Linked DNA regions of Caenorhabditis elegans. The protein of the gene in region 2 purifies or fractionates together with the protein of the main gene of each other region. This does not show direct contact. Each region holds a gene or a part of one and is shown on either strand. Other genes may lie near its edges. The genes, in order: vdac-1, sgk-1, ant-1.1 and F58F12.1.

Evidence for each region.
Region 1: the proteins of sgk-1 (region 2) and vdac-1 purify together in Caenorhabditis elegans (affinity purification with western blotting; one study listed by BioGRID). This does not show direct contact.
Region 3: the proteins of sgk-1 (region 2) and ant-1.1 purify together in Caenorhabditis elegans (affinity purification with mass spectrometry, with the first as the bait; one study listed by BioGRID). This does not show direct contact.
Region 4: the proteins of sgk-1 (region 2) and F58F12.1 purify together in Caenorhabditis elegans (affinity purification with mass spectrometry, with the first as the bait; one study listed by BioGRID). This does not show direct contact.

What each region holds. Positions count from the first base shown.
Region 1 is NC_003282.8:7,505,921-7,509,823, forward strand, and holds vdac-1 (putative voltage-dependent anion-selective channel), read right to left. Parts: upstream 1,972-3,903; 5' UTR 1,969-1,971; coding exon 1,905-1,968; intron 1,832-1,904; coding exon 1,691-1,831; intron 1,524-1,690; coding exon 1,354-1,523; intron 1,197-1,353; coding exon 939-1,196; intron 893-938; coding exon 674-892; 3' UTR 501-673; downstream 1-500. Other genes in the region: Putative sodium-dependent excitatory amino acid transporter glt-6, read left to right, coding at 1-45, 90-368; R05G6.5 (Uroporphyrinogen-III synthase), read left to right, coding at 2,663-2,806, 2,854-3,041, 3,219-3,298, 3,350-3,465, 3,517-3,555; plc-4 (Phosphoinositide phospholipase C), read right to left, coding at 3,758-3,903. UniProt on the Caenorhabditis elegans protein: Forms a channel through the cell membrane that allows diffusion of small hydrophilic molecules. Plays a role in maintaining mitochondrial morphology.
Region 2 is NC_003284.9:16,256,008-16,263,780, reverse strand, and holds the start of sgk-1 (Serine/threonine-protein kinase sgk-1), read left to right. Parts: upstream 1-1,729; coding exon 1,730-1,751; intron 1,752-3,652; coding exon 3,653-3,720; intron 3,721-4,468; coding exon 4,469-4,543; intron 4,544-4,590; coding exon 4,591-4,727; intron 4,728-4,784; coding exon 4,785-4,868; intron 4,869-5,501; coding exon 5,502-5,643; intron 5,644-5,697; coding exon 5,698-5,829; intron 5,830-5,914; coding exon 5,915-6,027; intron 6,028-6,104; coding exon 6,105-6,324; intron 6,325-6,743; coding exon 6,744-7,050; intron 7,051-7,773. Other genes in the region: mua-6 (Intermediate filament protein ifa-2), read left to right, coding at 1-131, 1,076-1,192, 1,250-1,300. UniProt on the Caenorhabditis elegans protein: Acts downstream of PI3 kinase age-1 and kinase pdk-1 in the daf-2/insulin receptor-like transduction pathway. Essential role in regulating development, stress response, and longevity.
Region 3 is NC_003281.10:13,461,237-13,465,197, reverse strand, and holds ant-1.1 (ADP/ATP translocase), read right to left. Parts: upstream 2,036-3,961; 5' UTR 1,968-2,035; coding exon 1,910-1,967; intron 1,802-1,909; coding exon 1,737-1,801; intron 1,692-1,736; coding exon 1,471-1,691; intron 1,418-1,470; coding exon 859-1,417; 3' UTR 546-858; downstream 1-545. Other genes in the region: cdk-5 (Cyclin-dependent-like kinase 5), read left to right, coding at 161-241, 294-380; T27E9.2 (Cytochrome b-c1 complex subunit 6), read left to right, coding at 2,614-2,841; abcf-2 (ABC transporter domain-containing protein), read left to right, coding at 2,991-3,065, 3,125-3,313, 3,365-3,961.
Region 4 is NC_003280.10:6,382,028-6,385,239, reverse strand, and holds F58F12.1 (ATP synthase subunit delta, mitochondrial), read right to left. Parts: upstream 1,596-3,212; 5' UTR 1,588-1,595; coding exon 1,468-1,587; intron 1,422-1,467; coding exon 1,289-1,421; intron 1,242-1,288; coding exon 1,045-1,241; intron 825-1,044; coding exon 783-824; 3' UTR 548-782; downstream 1-547. UniProt on the Caenorhabditis elegans protein: Mitochondrial membrane ATP synthase (F(1)F(0) ATP synthase or Complex V) produces ATP from ADP in the presence of a proton gradient across the membrane which is generated by electron transport complexes of the respiratory chain.

The DNA.
Region 1 (3,903 bases), on a different chromosome or scaffold from region 2:
CTAGGGGATGCGTTTGCTGCTTCAATGGTTCAGCATTTATTGCAGGTTTGATAGAAAACTCGAACTTGGAGACAATTGTATATTTTAAGAAAAAGCTGGATCAAGCAGACGCTCGTCACGATTATAAGACTGAACTGAAAGGAGAAATTGAACTATTGAAGTCAGCTGCCACCAGTAGAAGACCATCATTCACAATGTCAGAAGCTTCTAAGGAGCTCTTCTTGACACACGCGAACACAGCTGGAAACTCAAGAATTGGATCACGAATTGGCTCTCGTCGTCCTTCATCCACCAACTTGCATCTTTCCTGGCGTAATAATAACATTGAACCACCATACACACCTCTGCCCAACGATGAAAACGTGTAGTTCCATGATCAATATTTACATTTTTTGTCCATGTCACTTTTCCATTCCAAAACAGAAAACGGTTATTCTCTCCTCTTTCCGCGAGAACCCATGGATTGTTTTGTACATATCATTTTTACTATTTTAAGCCACTGATGAAACTCAATAATTTATGTTTGTAAAATTTAGCAGAAAAGTAAATAGCGCATGACATTTCTTTTTTTTCGAAGTTTAGAGAACATAAATCGACATTGAAAAATCAACGGTTGAGGACTAAAAGAATTTTAAGAACGCTATTGATGGGAGAATGGAAGTGATCGGAAGATCTAGTTGGATGGATCGAATTCGAGTCCAAGTCCGAACTTGTGAGCATCATTGGCAGCAAGGTTGAATTGAGTGGAAAGTGTCAGCTTAAGAGCTGGAGACAAGGAGTGTGTGGCAGCAACGGCAACTTGGGAAGAGCTGTTGACCTTGGCGCGGACAGTAAGGTCACGGCTTGGAGCATACTTGGTGGCGAGAGCGTAGTCAGCTCCGTTTCCACCAACCTGAAAATTCACTTTAGTTTTGGTTCTAGGATTTTAAAAAGTTTACCTTCCATCCGAGTTGAGTTCCAACCTCGACGTTGGAGGCAACCTTGTGGTAAAGGGAAGCTCCGAAGTCGGTTGAGTTAATAACGAAAGAGTGGAGGGTGTATTGTGGAGTGGAGTGTCCGAAAGCCAAAGAAGTGGCTGCCAACTTATTCGATGAAGAATCGAAGGTGGCGGCAGCTCCGATGAGCCATCCGTCACGGGAGAAGACTCCGGCAGCGTTGATAACTGGAGCAGAGGTGACTCCAACATCAGCGGTAACCTGTAAATGGCTAATTTGTTTCATTTCACAAAGATGGATTTTTGAAATCTCTATTTCTACATTCAGAAAATCGAACCCTGAAACAATCATGCTTCCAGTCAAGCTTGAGACGAGCTTCGCCAATCTTATCACCCAAAATATGTACAAGACTACTCACTCTAGCAGTTGGGAGAGCCCAGTCGAGCTTCACTTTTCCGCTTCTCTTTCCGGCGTGTGGGGCATAAAGAGAATCGAGAGTGACCTTGAGTCCACGTCCGAATTGCTCATTAACTTCGATAACAGTTCCGAGCTGGTTCTCGGTGTTCCATTTCTCGGTCAAAGTGATTCCTGAAAACGAAACAACATGATTGATATCTCTCACACAATATGTTGTATTTTTGTTGAGCGGTCGCTAGACGTCACGTGGTGTTTTAGAGTACATACAATTGCATCACCTGCGTCACGAGGTTGTCCCCATCTAGCGGGTAGACAATAAGATGTTCAGACGAGCTTACCGTATTGTGGGATCTTGTACTTGACATCGAGATTTCCTCCAAGCTTTCCGGATCCGATATTGTGAGAAGCGGCTGATTTGAACTCAACCTCCTTGTTGTCTCCAGCTCTAGTGGTGGAGTCGATCTTGAGGAATCCAAAGTCTGGAAAAAAATTAATCAGGCGAATAAATGACCTAACACTATTCCTCTCTACAAAGATAAAATTGAAACTTACTGTATCCTTTGTTGAAGAGGTCCTTGGCGGACTTTCCAAGATCAGCGAAGGTTGGTGGGGCCATTTTCTAAACACAAAATATTTTTTGAAACATGCATTCTAGAGTTACACGAGAGAAGGAAAATAGGAAATTTTCGAAAAATGAAGGCTTTGAAAATGTTTGCATTGAGCAGTGCATACGAGAAAAACGGAAAGAAAGAGATAAACCAACTCAATGGCAGCAGTAGGAAGTCGATAAACAATGCGCCAGAAAACACAACATCGCCAAAAAATATATTCAGGGTTTCAGTTAAATGATTTACAATTATCTTATCGGGAAATTCAGAAGCAAACATTTGTAACATAAAACTCCGACGGTATCGAAAACATTGAATGCGATAGAGAAAGGACAGATCACGCCACAACAGCAAATTGAGAGTTCAAAGGCAAGCACATTGGCGCGGCGACCGCCCGTCTCGAGACATAGGACGAAAATGAGAGGCACAGAGACTGGTTACTGCAGCGCGACCGCTCCGCTTCCAAAAGTACTGGATTATTTTGGCAGTTTTTCAAAATTGAATGATGCACTGAGAAGAAAAGATTTGATGCAATGAAAGAAATATTGACTAACGAAACAAAATGAAATTAGCAAGAAATCTCAAATTTAGCGTTAAACCAGGAAATGGTACCGGAAATTGAGCACAAATCCAAATAGTTTCCGCATCACCTGGTTCAGCGAATTCAGTTCACTTCTGTCACTTGCATCTAACCTATTCGAAATGTACCGCTCGGAAGTCTCTAAGCCACAACTGGAAAATCCAAACCTAGTCGATAGAATAATTGTAATTATTCTGCCGAACTATTTCTATGAATATGAATCCGTACTGAAGCACATAACAAAAGAAAACTTCGGGATTATAGAGGTAAGTTGTATATATGAAAATTAAAGAAGAAGAAACTGATTATTTAGAAAACTGTGAAGCATTTTAAAACTGAAGAAGTCATGGAGTGGAAAAGTGCTGATCTTGAATCCCAAGATATCTGGAACTTATCAGACAGGCTAATAGACGGACCATGCATGTTACTATTGTGTCAACGAGCGAATGCTTTTATTGAGATGAAAGAAGTGGCCAAATATCACAATGTGATCGCTAAGAGGTGAGCAAAGACCAACAAACATCCGAAAATACTGAAAAACAATGGAAGAAAAACATTGCGCACAGTTGAAAATAACCGTTACCGTAGTCTCGTTTCGGTACGAAACCTTCACACTTTTGGAGGTTTTTCAAAAAATCTATCCGAAGAGTTTTAAAACTTCACAAGCGTTTAATTCAGAATGAGTTCAAGTGATGGAATATATTATTCAAAAACGACAATTGCCGCCTATCACGATATAATTTTCTTTTTCCCCAAGTGTAAGATTCCATAAAGTTAGAATTTTGACTCTCCCATAAAAATATATTCAGACATTGACGAAAGAGCAATGCTGAAACATGCCAAGGATTATCTCTCAGTAGAAGTATGGCCGAAACTGAGCCAGGGACTGGCTCGCGTAGCAGTTGAGAGACCGGATAATCCAATTGTTTGTTTTCGAATACACCATTTAGTAACATGATTTTTTTGACTCTTTCAGAAATGGCTCGCAGATTATCTACACCAACTACGCCAATAAGTTTATGTTTCTAAAAAATAATATAGTGTAAATACCCATAAACCAATAAAACAATAAATTTTTTAAAAATATGCATTAAAAATTAACTACAAAACTATGCGAAAGAAAGGGCAGTAGAACATATATTACATGTAATCAGATAACACACAGGTAGTGATAAAAACGGCTTTGGTCTCAAAAATATGTTTAAAAAGCAGGAGAATTAGTACTCTTCCTCCATTGCAATTCGTACAAAAAGAGATGCAGATGGGTCCAGAGTATGTTGATATCCGGTATTTAGTTGAATTTGCGAGAAACCTGTACGAAGACTCATAACAGGAATTGAGAATTCTCCAACAAAGTCGTTCG
Region 2 (7,773 bases):
TGGAAAACACACACAGAGCCAAAGAAGAGCCACTCGGAGACTGGAAGCTTAAGAGAAAGATCGACGGAAAACGCGAGATCGTCTTCACCTTCCCATCCGACTACATCCTCCACCCATTCCAATCTGTCAAGGTTTGCGAATTTCTACTTCTTTCAGAAACAAGCCTAGCTACCCAGGACCTGTCGCGTATAAAACATTTCAAATTGGTGTCTCAGAATGAAATGTGTTGTTGTCTCTGTGTGTGTGTGTCGAATTGATAATCTAATGCGCGATTGCGTTTGGGTGTGGCAAGGTCATCCGTCCGTAATGACTAAAGGGGGGGTAACTTTGCTTCGAAAAAGAAAGATTGGGGATGTATGTAGGAGAAAAAGAAGGAATAAAAAGTGATAAACAAATTGATGGAAACTGTGAAGACAAACGTTGTTCACAGAAATCAATAAAAGGGACAGATGAGATGTGAGATTATTTAGGTCAGCTTTGAAAAAAAATGTTTTCAAATAAGGTTTGAATAAGAAATGAATTTGAAAGAAGCAATTATTTATTTAAAAGGTGGAGTAGCGCCAGTGGGGATTTTGTCTAAATGCACTTATAATGATCCAAAACAACCGAATATCATAATAAAACACTCCAAAATTTTTTTTAGATTTTTCATAATTTCCGGTCAAAGTTTTGGCAAATTCCCAAAAAATTTTAAAATACTAGCTTTTGAGGAAATTCAAAGAAATGTCGCATGTTTCGACCCCTACAATGTTTTAATACAAACAAAATTAAAACATAAAAAATGTCGAAAAAAAATTTTTTTTTTGATCGACTTCCAAAATTATGAGTGGCAAAAACTGAGTAATTGCCACTTTTTGACAGTAAATAAAAAATTTAAAAATTTTTTTTGAAAAGTTTTATCAAGATGTTTGGTCATTTTTGGACCAAAGGAGTGGTTTTTAACAATTTCCCGACTGGCGCTACTCCACCTTCAATCAATTTCATACAAAACATTTTTCATAAAAAAAAAAGAAATTCAAGTGAGGTGTTTTAACATTAAAAAAACCACTGTAAAGACAAATTTCTACATTTCCAGATCTTCGCCCGCGGACAAGGAATCGCCAATCCTCCAGAAGTGCTCATTTTCGAAGGTGACGAAACATTCGGTGTTGGCGCCAACGTTCAAACAATCCTTTACAACAATAAGGGAGAGGTAATTCAACCCCCAAAAATTTACGTGCAGAATAAAATGTTATTTTTTTCTTTGCAGGAGCGCGCGACACACATCCAACGTCAAAGCCAACAAACGACATCTTCCTAAATCTAGCTTTTTGCTTGAGCTATTTACTGTTTTCTTCTCTTTGTACCAGAAATCTGAACCCCAACTCTTTGCTGCCTGCCTGTTTGCATTTTTTCCGTTTGCTATATACTTTTTCACTTTTTTGTTTCTTTTTCCTCCGGTAACTTACTCATTTTCAACAATAAATACTTTATACAGATCAAAAAATTGCCATATGGAATGTTCATTTTTCATTTGAAACATTGATAGGAAAAGTAAGGTGGGGAAATATTAAAGGTGATAACGTGATCAAGAGCAAATAAGAAAGTCAGACGAATGGCTCGGTGAGCCGTGATAAGAAGACAAGGTCCAACCCAGCGATTCTAATCAGTTAACACGAGACAAGATACATCGAAAACCCACATTCGACCTGGTGGCGGTTATTCTAAATACGAGAGCATTACTGTGACAATGGGCAGCATGTATTATAATGGTGAGTCAAAGATTAAACCTGGCTGGTTCTGTGAAATGTTTGTATTTGTTTTAAGAAATTCAAAATCTGAAATGTCTTAAAAGTCTCAATTTTTTTAAATGGCTGATAAAATTTTGAAAACCTAGCTCTTCCAGATAAAACCTAGATTTCTGCCAACATGTCACAGTTGCGGCGGTCTGAAAACATTAGTTGATGGGTGCAAAAAATACTTCTTACTCCTGAAAACAACTTAATCAACGAAAAAAGTCATAACAATAAATATATTCATTAAAAATACATAGAAAAACAGAACATTCAATAAAATTTAATAAAAATCAATTTTGGGTAACTATGACAAACATAGGTTGACAAGTTAAAAATGTAGTTTTTTGTATTTTTTATTTTTTTCAGAAATAAAAATAAATTAAATTCGATATTTTGGGGTCATTTTGACCCAATTAAAAAATTAATCCAAATTTCGCTACTACACCTGTGAGAAGTTATCATAAATTTTTTTTAAAATGTGCTTTAAATGTGGAGTAGCGCCAGTGGGGGAAATTGTCAAAAACCACGCCTATGGTCTCAAATTAATGGAATATCAAAATAAAACTATTCAAAAAATTTTTGAAATTTTTTTTTTACTCTCAAAAAGTGACAATTATTTAGTTTTTACTCAAAATTTTGGAAGTCGTCCGAAAAAAAAAAGTTTTTCTACATTGTTTATACTGTGACTGTGTTTTAATTATTCACATTTAAACATTGTAGGGGTCTAAACATGCGGCCATGCTTCGGATTTCCTCACAAGCTCATATTTTTCGAAATTTGGCCATTTGCCAAAACTTTGACCGGAAATTATGAAAAGTCTAAAATTTTTGCAGTTTTTTATTATGATATTCTGTCGTTTTGGATCATAATAAGAGCATTTAGACAAAATCCCCATTGGCGCTACTTCACCTTTAAAATGCAGATAGATCATTAACTCAAACATAAACTTACTAGTTTTGAATTTTCATTATGAATTTAGATGTTTTTTAACAAACCTATAAATGCTCACAGGAAAATACAATGCATTAGGTTTTCCAAGAAATTATAATATAATGAACTCTTTCTGAAACATACTTCAGTCTTCATGATTTCAAAATCAAATTTTCCAATTCTGACATAAAATAATCCACTGGTCAAACGTAATGATTTGATAACGCATTTCTGTTTGACAGCTTAATTTTCATTTGAACTTTCATTTTCTGAAATCAAAACTGAATACGTTTTTTCAATTTATTACGTTTTACTTGTGTAGTATTAGAACTACAAAAAAGGTTTGCAATGGATTAAAATAATTATTTTTTATCATTGTGCCTATTTTGAGAGTTTCAAATAATTATTTTTATGCTTGAAAAAATAAAAAAATAGACATTTTCATTCATCTAATTTTTGAAATTAATTTATAAATTATTAATGGTTTAAATTTTTTCTTTAACGTATCTATATCATCTTGAAATATACCTCTTAACAATCTATTTACTTTGCATGCTTCTTTTTATGATTTCTATGATTCTTTCAAAATGCAAATAATGACGTCACTTTCTGCATCAACCGGAAGAAATTATGATGATGATATTTTTTTTTCCTTCTCTAGAAGTTTTTTACCCTTTCATTACCTCTAATGGAGTTGAGAAACCAGAGCCATACTACCTTTTCCAATTTTCTTTTCAACATAAGTTTCATGTCAAAAAGTGCTTATGCAGTATTGATAAGTGTAGTGAAACTCTCTCAAAGGACTGATAAGGCCGAAGAAAAAGTCATGATCTGCTTCCCGGAAATAGCAATCGATTTTTATTGACGAGTTTTAGTTATGCTCATTAATTTATTTTTTTATTGATATCGATAAATGTTTTAATATAATTTAATTTTGAATATTTCAGAGTCGAGAATGGTGAGGAAAGATGAGGTGACATGCAATGTTATTATAGGAGATGATAAGAAAACTGTGGTAAGTTAGAGAGCATTAAGATTAATTTAAAGAGTTTTAAAAATAAATATTATCTCATTTTTTGTCCGTAAAGTATAATGTGATGCAGGGATAGGCGGAAAAAAATTTTGTCGACAAATTCGGCAAATCGTCAAATTGCCGGTTTTCCCGATTTGCCGGAGATTTTCAATTCCGACAATTTACCGGTTTGCCGAGTTGCCGGAAATTTTCTTTTTTGGCAAATTGTCGGTTTTCCGTCTGCCGGATATCAAGTTTGCCGGAAATGTCTAGAGGGATTTTTATAAGACGGAAACACATGAAAATTGGCCCTTTTTGAAACTTTTTCCCGTTTTCTTTAGCTATTTACATAGAAGTTGTTCAATTTTCAAAATATATGTTGGAACATGCGTACAATTTTTCCGATTAAAATTGAAATTCTGAAATTTTTTAAAAATGTGCAAAACCACAATTTGCCAAACATTTTTGGCAATTGTCGTTTTTCCGGCAAGTTCGGCAAATCGGCAATTTGCACGTTTTCAATTCCGGCAACTTGCAATTTATAGATTTACCGTGTTCACTTTTGAGATTTGTGTGTTCCACAAGAAATATTTTAAAGTTTACACGTTCAGTTTCAATTATAAAACATTTTTCCTGAAGACTACACGGCGAGTAACTATAATAGAAAATTACAAATTTGTCACACATGCCCAAATCAGAAATATTTTTTTAAATACACTTGACGAGTTTTCAAATAAAATTATATTTTCAGGTTTACGCGCTCCGTATCGGAAATGGCCCAATTATGCAAAAAACGTTTGAAGAATATGAAAGATTTTTTACAACTGTCAGTTTTTTCAAGTTTTTATTTTCCAACTTTTTATTGACTTTCAGGAAAAGGATATGATCCCGGCTACAATTTTCACTGCGCCGAAAAAGAAGTTCCTGCAAGCTGACAGCAAGTTCTACGAGAAAAGACGTGTTTGGATCCTTGTGATTAGTCAGCATCTTGTTGATAATAATTTAAGAAGGTAATGAGATTAATTTATGTTGGATAGTTTATAATTCTTTGATTACAATGATTACAGTGAGGATGTCCGTCGGTTCTTCCATCTCGAAAGTCCGGATGATGATGAGAATAATGTTGATCTCGGACCAAGTGAGAGGAAAACGTATGTTTTGGCCATAAGGATTTGCGGTAAATCGCCAAAGTTGCACATATTGAAGTAGAGCTCCCAGCTGAGTGATGCGCAAAATGCGGACCTCACCCCGACGCCACCGTGTGTTTGCAATGAAGTTCGAAATGTAGTTATTTGGAGCGTCCGACATGTTCGGGGTTCCGCAGCTTGGTCGTGAAATAAGTAGCTTGGTGTGTGCGCAACGTAGTGTGAAGAGATGGTTGTTTGGAAGCGGCCGACACGTTCGGGGTTCCGCGCAACATTATACATTCGCATACATCCGTCTTGCGCGACGACCTCATGGGAGACCTATATTAAATACTTTTGATTTTTTTCCCCGAACGTTTGCAATGAGCTTCTAATTTTGTTTCATCTGCTCTTAAAATAGCTACGTTACCAAGTTTTTGAAATTTTTCCAATCTTTGAAACAAGACATCCATTTTTGATTCGTTCCAAAATAGGAAGTGTTGCTTATTTTCCGAAAATTTTGGCTTTCCCATCTCATGTTGACCTATTTTTGTCGACTCAAAATTTTTCGACCAACAGTATAATTTTTATGGAAATTTTAGAAACCAGAGTTTCATATATACGTTGCAAGACTTTTTGCCTCTAGCAGTTTATTTTCAGAGCCACCGCCAATGATTTCGATTATCTGACAACTATCGGAAAAGGAAGCTTTGGAAGAGTTTACCAAGTCAGGCACAAGGAGACCAAAAAAATCTACGCCATGAAAATTCTGTCCAAGGAACATATCAGAAAAAAGAACGAGGTATTGATTAGTGTTACAAGTTTTTGGAACATAAGTAGCAAATACGTTTTTAAGGTGAAACACGTCATGGCAGAAAGAAATGTGCTCATTAACAACTTTAAGCACCCTTTCCTTGTTTCACTTCACTTTTCGTTCCAAAATAAGGAGAAGCTGTATTTTGTGCTCGATCACTTGAACGGAGGAGAGGTACCTATTCCATGTGTTTAGATTAATATAGGGAAGAATGGACTCGATAGAAAACTTATAAAACTTTCAAAATGTGGCATTTCAGCTTTTCTCTCACCTCCAACGCGAGAAACATTTTTCCGAGTCGAGAAGTCGTTTTTACGCGGCCGAGATTGCATGTGCTCTGGGTTATCTTCACGAGAAAAACATTATCTACAGGTAGCGATTTACTTGCTTTCAAAAAAAGAAACCTCTAAATTGGTTTGGCAATATGCAAATATAAATTTACATTCCAGAGATTTGAAGCCTGAAAACCTTCTGTTGGACGATAAAGGTTACTTGGTGCTCACCGACTTTGGGCTCTGTAAAGAAGATATGCAAGGAAGCAAGACAACTTCCACATTTTGTGGGACGCCGGAGTACTTGGCCCCGGAAATTATTCTGAAAAAGCCTTACGACAAGACTGTTGACTGGTGGTGTTTGGGATCGGTTCTCTATGAAATGATTTTTGGATTGGTAAGGATTGCCGAGTTGGCATAAACTTGAAATACACAATCTGAAATATTATAGCTGGTTTATTAAAAAATATGATGACTAGTTTTATAATTAGTAGTTACAACTGCAATTTTCTTCCGCTTTTCGTAGAGCTTAGCGCAATAGAACTCTGCCGACTTTTGTTCCAATGACCTTCTCTAAAAGTTTTACATAACCTATTTACCATATTTTTTCTATTAGTACAGCCCTGATGTGTAATTCAGACTAGAAACTTAAAATTGCTTCTTCTTTTGCTTCTTCTTTTTGTTCTGTGATTTTCCCAAAACCACAGAACACAAAATATTACATAGTTCAAGCTAAAATTGCTGATTTGATTTATTTCCCTGACATAACTTTCTTAATCTGCTCCCCCCCCCCCCAAAAAAGAGCAATCATTTCAGCCTCCATTCTACTCAAAAGATCATAACGAGATGTACGACAAGATCATCAACCAGCCACTTCGTCTCAAGCACAACATCTCTGTGCCATGCAGTGAGCTCATCACCGGGCTCTTGCAAAAAGACCGTTCAAAGCGTCTGGGCCATCGCAATGATTTCCGTGACATTCGTGATCATCCATTCTTCCTTCCGGTTGATTGGGATAAGCTTCTGAATCGTGAGCTTAAGGCTCCGTTCATTCCGAAAGTGAAAAACGCAATGGATACATCCAATATTTCAAAGGAGTTCGTGGAGATTCAAATTGATCCATGTAAGATATATGTACAATAATTGGCATAATTAAGGATGGTTGGGGATAGAACTGGCATATTTCCGGTCATCGCGTCCGGTTTTGGAATTTTGAGAATTTTCCGAAGGTAGTTTTTCACGGCGGCCGACAATTTCCGAGTTTAGCCACTCATTATCGAATTATGTATATGATTAAGTATAGTGAGTGGCCAAACTCGGAAATTGTCGGCCGCCGTGAAAACTACTTTTTCTGAAAATTTTTTAAAATTCCAAAACCGGACCCCAAATATGCCAGCCCTAGTTGGGGAGAAGGGTTGGTTCCAATAAGAATGTAAAAATTTGTAGTAACTAATCTTAGTTCAACGCTCTATTCAAAGTGACATCTAATATGTAGTAAGACCAAATCTTGTAATGAGAGGTCTTCAAAAATTTCATTTTTCTTCAAAAACTTCCTTTTTCTGTACGGTTTCTTTTCAAAATCAAAAAGAACAGTCTCAATATACCGAAAATGACTGCGAAAAAATTTGAAACATTTTTTTCATTTTTTTAAAAACTGTTTTCAAACTTTCCAAAACTTTTTAAAAAGCCTCATTTTTCAAGCCCACGTCTTTTGATTCCTTTTGTTTCTCGGCAAAGTTTATTAGTTTCTTTTTCGGTTTTTGATCTCATTAAAATGTCTAATTTTAATAGAAGCCCAAATAAAATATTAAGATGAAATGAGCTGAGGAAAAAAGTAAGAGATGCC
Region 3 (3,961 bases), on a different chromosome or scaffold from region 2:
CGTAATTCATACAATCACGGGCGGCTGGGACAGGACAGAGAACAGAGTATTGAGTAGATTTAGAGAAGCAGAGACAACTGTTCTAGATTTAAGATTGACAATAATTAATTGAATTCCATTGCATTATAGGAACACACAAGTATAACATACCATTTTTCAGCCCTACCCAATCTACCATCCAACGCTTACATGGAGCCAAATCGTACCTAATTTGAATTCACGTGGCCGTGATCTTTTACAGGTAACTTTTTTCCAATAAAAATTATACTTACTCAAACTCGAAGTATTTGCAGAAACTTCTTGTTTGCAATCCAGCAGGAAGAATCGATGCCGATGCAGCTCTACGCCATGCGTACTTCGCAGACACTTCTGACGTCTAACTATTCACTATTGCACTTTCCTACTCACATTGTTTTCTCGCTTTCCCTGGCATTCACTTCCCCCACTGACCCCAAATGAACCTCATTGCTTGCGAAACAAAATCTCATCGTTAATAAACGGCTACGGTTTGAAATCTTTCTGTGGCACATAATTGAACGAAGGGAAAATCAACAACGTTTTATTGTTGTTCGAGTAATTTTAAAGATCAACGGCAAACACAGGTGCAATAACCGAGATTGTCAAACCGAGTCCAGATAAAGGGGCTATCCTAACGAATGTTCAATCGGGGTGTTGAGGGAAAGAATGAGAATTTGAAAAGGGGAAAACTTTAATAGAGGATTTAAAACTTTTTATGTGGCTCGCTTTATTTTTGAAAACTTAACATAGTAGCTAGGTGAACTACTTTGCTAAAACAAGCTACATAACGAGATTTTGTTGGACAATGACAAGGTAAAAATTATCAAAGTGTTATCAAATTTAAAGGAACTTCTGGATTTCGTCGTAGATGGCCAAGACGAGGGCTCCTCCGGTTCCACGGAAGACGTTGGAGAGGGCTCCCTTGAACATAGCGGACATTCCTTCGTTTTGGATGATCTTCTTTGCGCAATCGAGGGTGTTTTTGTAGAGGATATCCTTGCGTCCAGACTGCATCATCATACGACGACGAACAGTGTCCCATGGGTAGGAAAGGATTCCAGATCCGACTGTGACAACTTGAGCAATTCCCCAAGCGGCGAAGAAGTTGAGTTTCTGTCCATCAGAAGCGAAGACCATCTTGGCGGTATCGAACATTCCGAAGTATGCGGCACGGTAGATGATAATTCCTTGCACGGAGACGAAGAATCCTCTGTAGAGTCCGATTGGTCCATCGGATTTCACGATCTTGATAAGGCAGTCAGCAAGTCCCTTGAATTCACGGTCGTTGGCCTTTCCAATATCAGCAGCAAGACGGGTACGGGCAAAGTCGAGTGGGTAGACGAAGCAGAGGGAGGTGGCTCCAGCAGCTCCTCCGGAAGCCAAGTTTCCTGCGAAGAACCTGAATTTCAAATGTGAAATTTTCTAAAAACAATAATGCAATGTTTAACTTACTTCCAGAAGTCCTTCTTTTTGTCGAGTCCCTCAAGGAAGATTGCCTTGTATGTGTCCTTGAAGGCGAAGTTCATGGCCTGAGTTGGGAAGTACCGGATGACGTTAGCGAGGTTTCCTCTCCAGAGGGCAGCAACTCCTTGCTCCTTTGGGACACGGATGAGAACATCCATGATTCCCTTGTAACGCTTGTCAACGGCGATAGCCTTGGAAGCATCTTGGACCTAAAATTTTTCATATTTATAGTGGAAAAAAGTTTCATCACACACCTGGAGGAGAAGCTTGACACGCTCAATTGGGGCAACAGCGGTCTTGGAGACGGCAGCAGCGGTACCTAAAAGAAAACAAAATTAATTAAATCACAAATTTGACGAATGAAAACCCAAAATTAATAATTATAGAAATCCTCCAAATTTTTGCAATAAAAACTGAAAAAGCTTACCTCCTGAGGCGAGATCGATCAAGAACTTTTTGGTGTCGAAGGACTTTTCTTTGGACATGATTCAAGATTGAAGGACCTCGGTGGTCGGTGCTTGCCAGAAGCAATAGTGGGAAGACGGCCGCCCGTCGAAACGGGGTGCGCGCACAGCCCGTGAGGCACTTTGCAGGTCTCGCCACGCTCGCAAGTACGGTGCGTCAGGCGCGGCGATTCAAACACTAGTTTTCTCTGACCGCCCAGTTTTGGGATTTTTTGCATATTTTGAGCCTAAATATCAGTTTTGTTATCGATTTTTCGTATTTTTCTTTTCTAAACGTGTTCGTTCCTTCATTCCTGAATTTTTCACGTTTTGTTTTATTAAAAAAACGTGATTTATTTTCGAAAAATAGGTCATAACTCCAAGAAAGTAACTTAATTGCGAAAGTTTCAGTTTTTATGAAAATTATGAGCCATGTCAAAGCAAACACAATAGTGTATTAGTGATAAGCAGTACTTGAAGTGTTTTTTGTTTATTTACACTGTAGATAACTGGTTATTCGTAACCTCAATGTTCCGAAAAAAATCGATATCGCATTGTGGCTAATTTATGCCTACGGGAGTTTGGTATGACCGGTTTTTCGAATCGCTTTAAAGTAGTTTTCTTCATATTTCTCTTCTCATCGAGCCAATGACTTGTCACTATCATGGAATTTTTTTCGGGTATCAGTATGTCGAGCCACAAGGAAGAGCCACTCGAGGCTGACGTCGATCAACTTACTCAATACCGTGAGCGATGTGCCGACCATGTCACCGAATTCAAGAGTATTCTCGACGAGTGCAACGATCGTGTCAACTCTCGTTCTAACACTGAGGAGACCTGCCATCAGGAGATGGCTGACTACGTTCACCATTTGGATCACTGTGCCATGCCAAAGGCCTTCGCTTCGTTGAAATAATATTTCTTTTCCTGCTTTTTTTGAGGATTTCTCGTCTAGTTTATGTGAATTTTCGCTCTCGTATTTTTTATCCGTCGCTTTTTCCGTGTATTTGAGAGATAAATAAATAAAAATTTAGGGTACCCCATCCGCATCACTGCTGGACAACAATGCCGTCTGATGCGAAGAAAGCACGCGAGGCCGCTAAGAAGGCTGCCGCCAAAGGAGGAAAAGGAAAAAAGAAGGTGAGCAATTGATTTTTAGTTTTTTTTTGTTTAACAAATAATAATCATCTCATTTCCAGGTAGAAACACCAACCGCCATGTCATCTCAACATCCGTCCGTCAACAGTCTCTGCTGTTTAGACGAGGAGCTCGATCAGGCCGCCGCCACCTTGGCCAAAATCGAATTGGAAAACGCTGCTGCTCGTTCAGTCGCCGGATCATTGACTTCCGATCCAAAGGGTCTTGATCACAGAGTAGAAAGCCTGACGGTAAGTGGTTTTTAATTGGCGACTCCAACAAGTAACTTTGTTTTCATTCAGATTACATTCCACGGTCGTGAAATTGTCGTTGACACGAAACTCGAACTCAACCGTGGACGTCGTTACGGACTCATCGGATTGAACGGATCTGGAAAGTCTACCATCATTCAGGCAATCTACAACAAGGAAATGCCAATCCCAGAGTCCGTGGATATGTACCTCGTATCCCGTGAAATGCCTGCTTCAGAGAAAACTGCTCTTCAAGCGGTCGTTGATGTCGATTCAGTCAGAAAAGAGTTGGAACATCTTGCCGAGCAGCTTGCTAGTCAGACTGATGAGGAAAGTCAGGACAAGCTGATGGATGTTTACGAAAGGCTGGATGAAATGGATGCATCTCTCGCTGAAAAGAAGGCTGCCGAAATTTTGCACGGACTTGGATTCACAAAAACTATGCAAATGAAAAAATGTAAAGATTTTTCTGGAGGATGGAGAATGCGCATTGCTCTCGCTCGTGCACTTTTCCTGAAACCGTCAGTCTTACTTCTCGACGAACCGACCAATCATTTGGATTTGGAAGCTTGTGTGTGGCTTGAGGAGGAACTCGCTCAGTATAAAAGAACCTTGTTGGTGGTTTCTCACTCTCAAGATTTCATGAAC
Region 4 (3,212 bases), on a different chromosome or scaffold from region 2:
AAATCAATTTTGCGAAGGTTTGAATAAATAAAGCTCCAATTTTAATAAAAGAAGTTTGATATTCAAACTAATATTAGCTATTTACTAAAAATGGTGGAAAATTGGTGAATAATTATTTTGATTCAGAAAAGTGTTCATATGATTTTTGAAGTTTGTTGTCTATCCTCCCATCGTGTCTGTAAATGGCATTTAAAGTGGGTTTGTCGATAAAAAAGACAATTCCAATTTGTATCTCAACTTTCATCACTTTGAAAAAGCCGAATCCTCCTTGGGTTTCCTCTTCAAATGTTGCAGATTCTTCTGAATGGCATCATCACTTACGATTTTTTTCGTTCAATTTCGCTTTTTGAACAACCATTTTCGATTAGCGCATGAATTGAATCGAACCCGAGGTTTCCGTTTTTTGGTAAACATAAGGAAATACTAATTCTATTTCATTTTAGGGTACGTATTGCTGTAGATTGTAATTGTTTTAAACTCATGGAATTGGTATTCCAGTTTACATACATTTTCAGAATTTTCTCTTGTTTGATATAATTACTTGGATGAAGGATCGAATGTTCATTTCTACTATAAATATCACTAAATCAGAAAATTGGAAAAATAAAAGTCAAAAACTAAAAGTCTCGAAATTTATTGGAAACGATGGAACAATGAAAACAAAAAAAGGGAGGGCCGTACATAATATCCTATAAGCAGCATCGAGAGAAATTGACGATGTGCCTAGGATCAAATTAAAAAGGAATTTACCAAAGTTAAAGGGTCTACTCTCAACATACTCCTTATTGCTGGTTCGTGGCGGCCTTGATCAATGCTTCAGCAACCTGAAAAATTCCCTTGTTTTGAAACAAAACTTAAAGACATATTCATTTCAGAGAACTACTTTTATGACCCTCAACTTTATGTCCTGGTCTCAGTTTTAGTATCGAAGCACAGAATCATTTTGATAATAAAAATATTACGAAATGCTTAACTTTGCTGAAACCAAACGATATTCGTTTCTTGTATTTTTTTTTGGTTTTTAAAACTTTTTCGAACACTTACTTCAGCGCGAATTTGAGCTTCAGCACGAGCAACCTCGCTTCCTTCTCCGGAGGCTCTTTGGGCAGCATCAAGCTCGGCGCGGGCAGCAGACTCATCAATTTCTTCAACTTTCAGGACCTCCTCAGCAAGAACTTGGCATGATCCATCGATGTTCACGGAGAGGGTTCCCGAAGAGACGAAAAGGCGTTGAACTGTTCCTGAAAAATTCTTTGGTGATAATACAATTTATTTTTGCAAAATAAACCTTCATTTGTGGTGACAGAGACAACTCCTGGTTTCAAAACTCCAATGGTTGGGACGTGATTGGCAAGAACACCAACCATACCGGCCAAAGTTGGCACATCAACCTGCTTGACGACAGCATTGCTGAAGACAGCCTGTAAATTGATTTTCAAATAATGTTTTCAAATAATATTTACTCACGGTGTCTGGGGAGGCGAAAGTGAGACGAAGCTCCTCTGGGTTGGCGTTGGCAGCTGGAGCGGCAGCGGCGTATCCGCGCTTGGCAACAACCGAGAATCTTTGGATAGTACGAGCCAACATCTTACCCTCTGAAATGATAACATTGTTTGATTGATTTTTAGAAGGTCAATATGTGTATTAAGAATTATAAATGAAAAAATCGGAGGAATAGATTGTATTTGGGGAACAAACAATAGTAAAAATCGTAGACATATAGTCGAATACTTTTTTCAATTTTTAATAACGAAAATTAACTGAAAAAACTTCCCAAAACAGTTGAAAACAGAGATTTTTTGTTAAAAAAAGGTGAATAAAAATCGAGATCGCCCGTCGTCCAACGGAGCGTGTTTGCATCCCCTAATGGCTAGTCCGCGGCCATCGGGAAAAACTAGGCCATCTTGGCGAAGGTTAAAAAATGCCTGAAGATTTAATGAAACGTATGTTAAATATGAAACAGCGAATGTAATTGGAGATTTTCAACTAAGAAGCGTAGAATTTTTGATATTTATTGAAATGTAGCTAATTGGAATAATTTTTGAAATTATAGAACTATTACAATAGAGAAAACATATTTTTTAAATAAACTTTATTTGAAGACGTATCTAAACAGCAATAGAGTACACTATTGAAGCTACTGATTGAAAAAATCTTAACCATTAAAGTAGATTGCTCCTTTCTCGAATTGTACGCAGGGAAGAATATATGGAAATTTTTGAAAATTGTATACATGATTTGTAGGTTTCACTTAACTTACTATATTATTCACTACATTGCGTAGCATTTCGATACACTTTGCAAAATACGACTCATTTGAACATTTGAATAAGCCACGTGACTTTTTACGTGTTTCCTTCACCTGAAGCAGAACATGTGTGTTGGTGCGTTTTCTGCTGAATTGACTGAAACTTATCAAATATTTGAAGTTTGTTGCAACTGCGTGTCATTTCATAGTAATAGTAAAGAAATGTGATAATCCGGTTATCAATTGAGTAGAAACATGCGGGAAATGTATGATTTATGGTTCTTCTCAGTTTTCAGTTTTTATAAGTGATTGCAAAATACAGTACATACTGTAGATGTTATTGAAAGTTTGGCTTCTGGACAGAGAGGTCGCATGCTCATCAAGTGGATACCGGGAAACAGTAATAATATATCATCCCTCATTCTGCCCAACGAAAATTTATTTTAAACTACATAATAACCTTTTTGTGCAGTGAGTAAGTAGATCGACAACATTTTGATATCTCTAAAATAAAAAGAAGCTTCAAAATCATGAAACCGTGGAGAAAAAGTTTGCAACTGAAGATAAAAGATCATCATGACTAACTTTTGTGAACTTTCTGTTTAGGCTTGTGTCCGGAACTAAATAAATTCACCTGAAATCACGAATTCGCCATTAGATATTTAACATTCTATTAGAATCCTATTAAAGAAACACACACAGTTGTTTGGTCATTGTAACTAGACACATAGTCAATGATAAAGTTTGTGGTTAGGGTTAACACTCCTAATGCAGGTTATCATGTGAAAATATTACTGTAGCTACTTTTAAAGTTTGTGCATGCAGAGAAGTTAGGGATTGGATTTTTAAGACCTGCCTTTTAAAAACTATGCATCCAAAACAACAGATAATTCCGGTTTGGAGTGAGCAGCCATTCTTCTACAAGTTTCGGAGAGAGAGACGCAACCTTTAGGTAGGTAAAAAA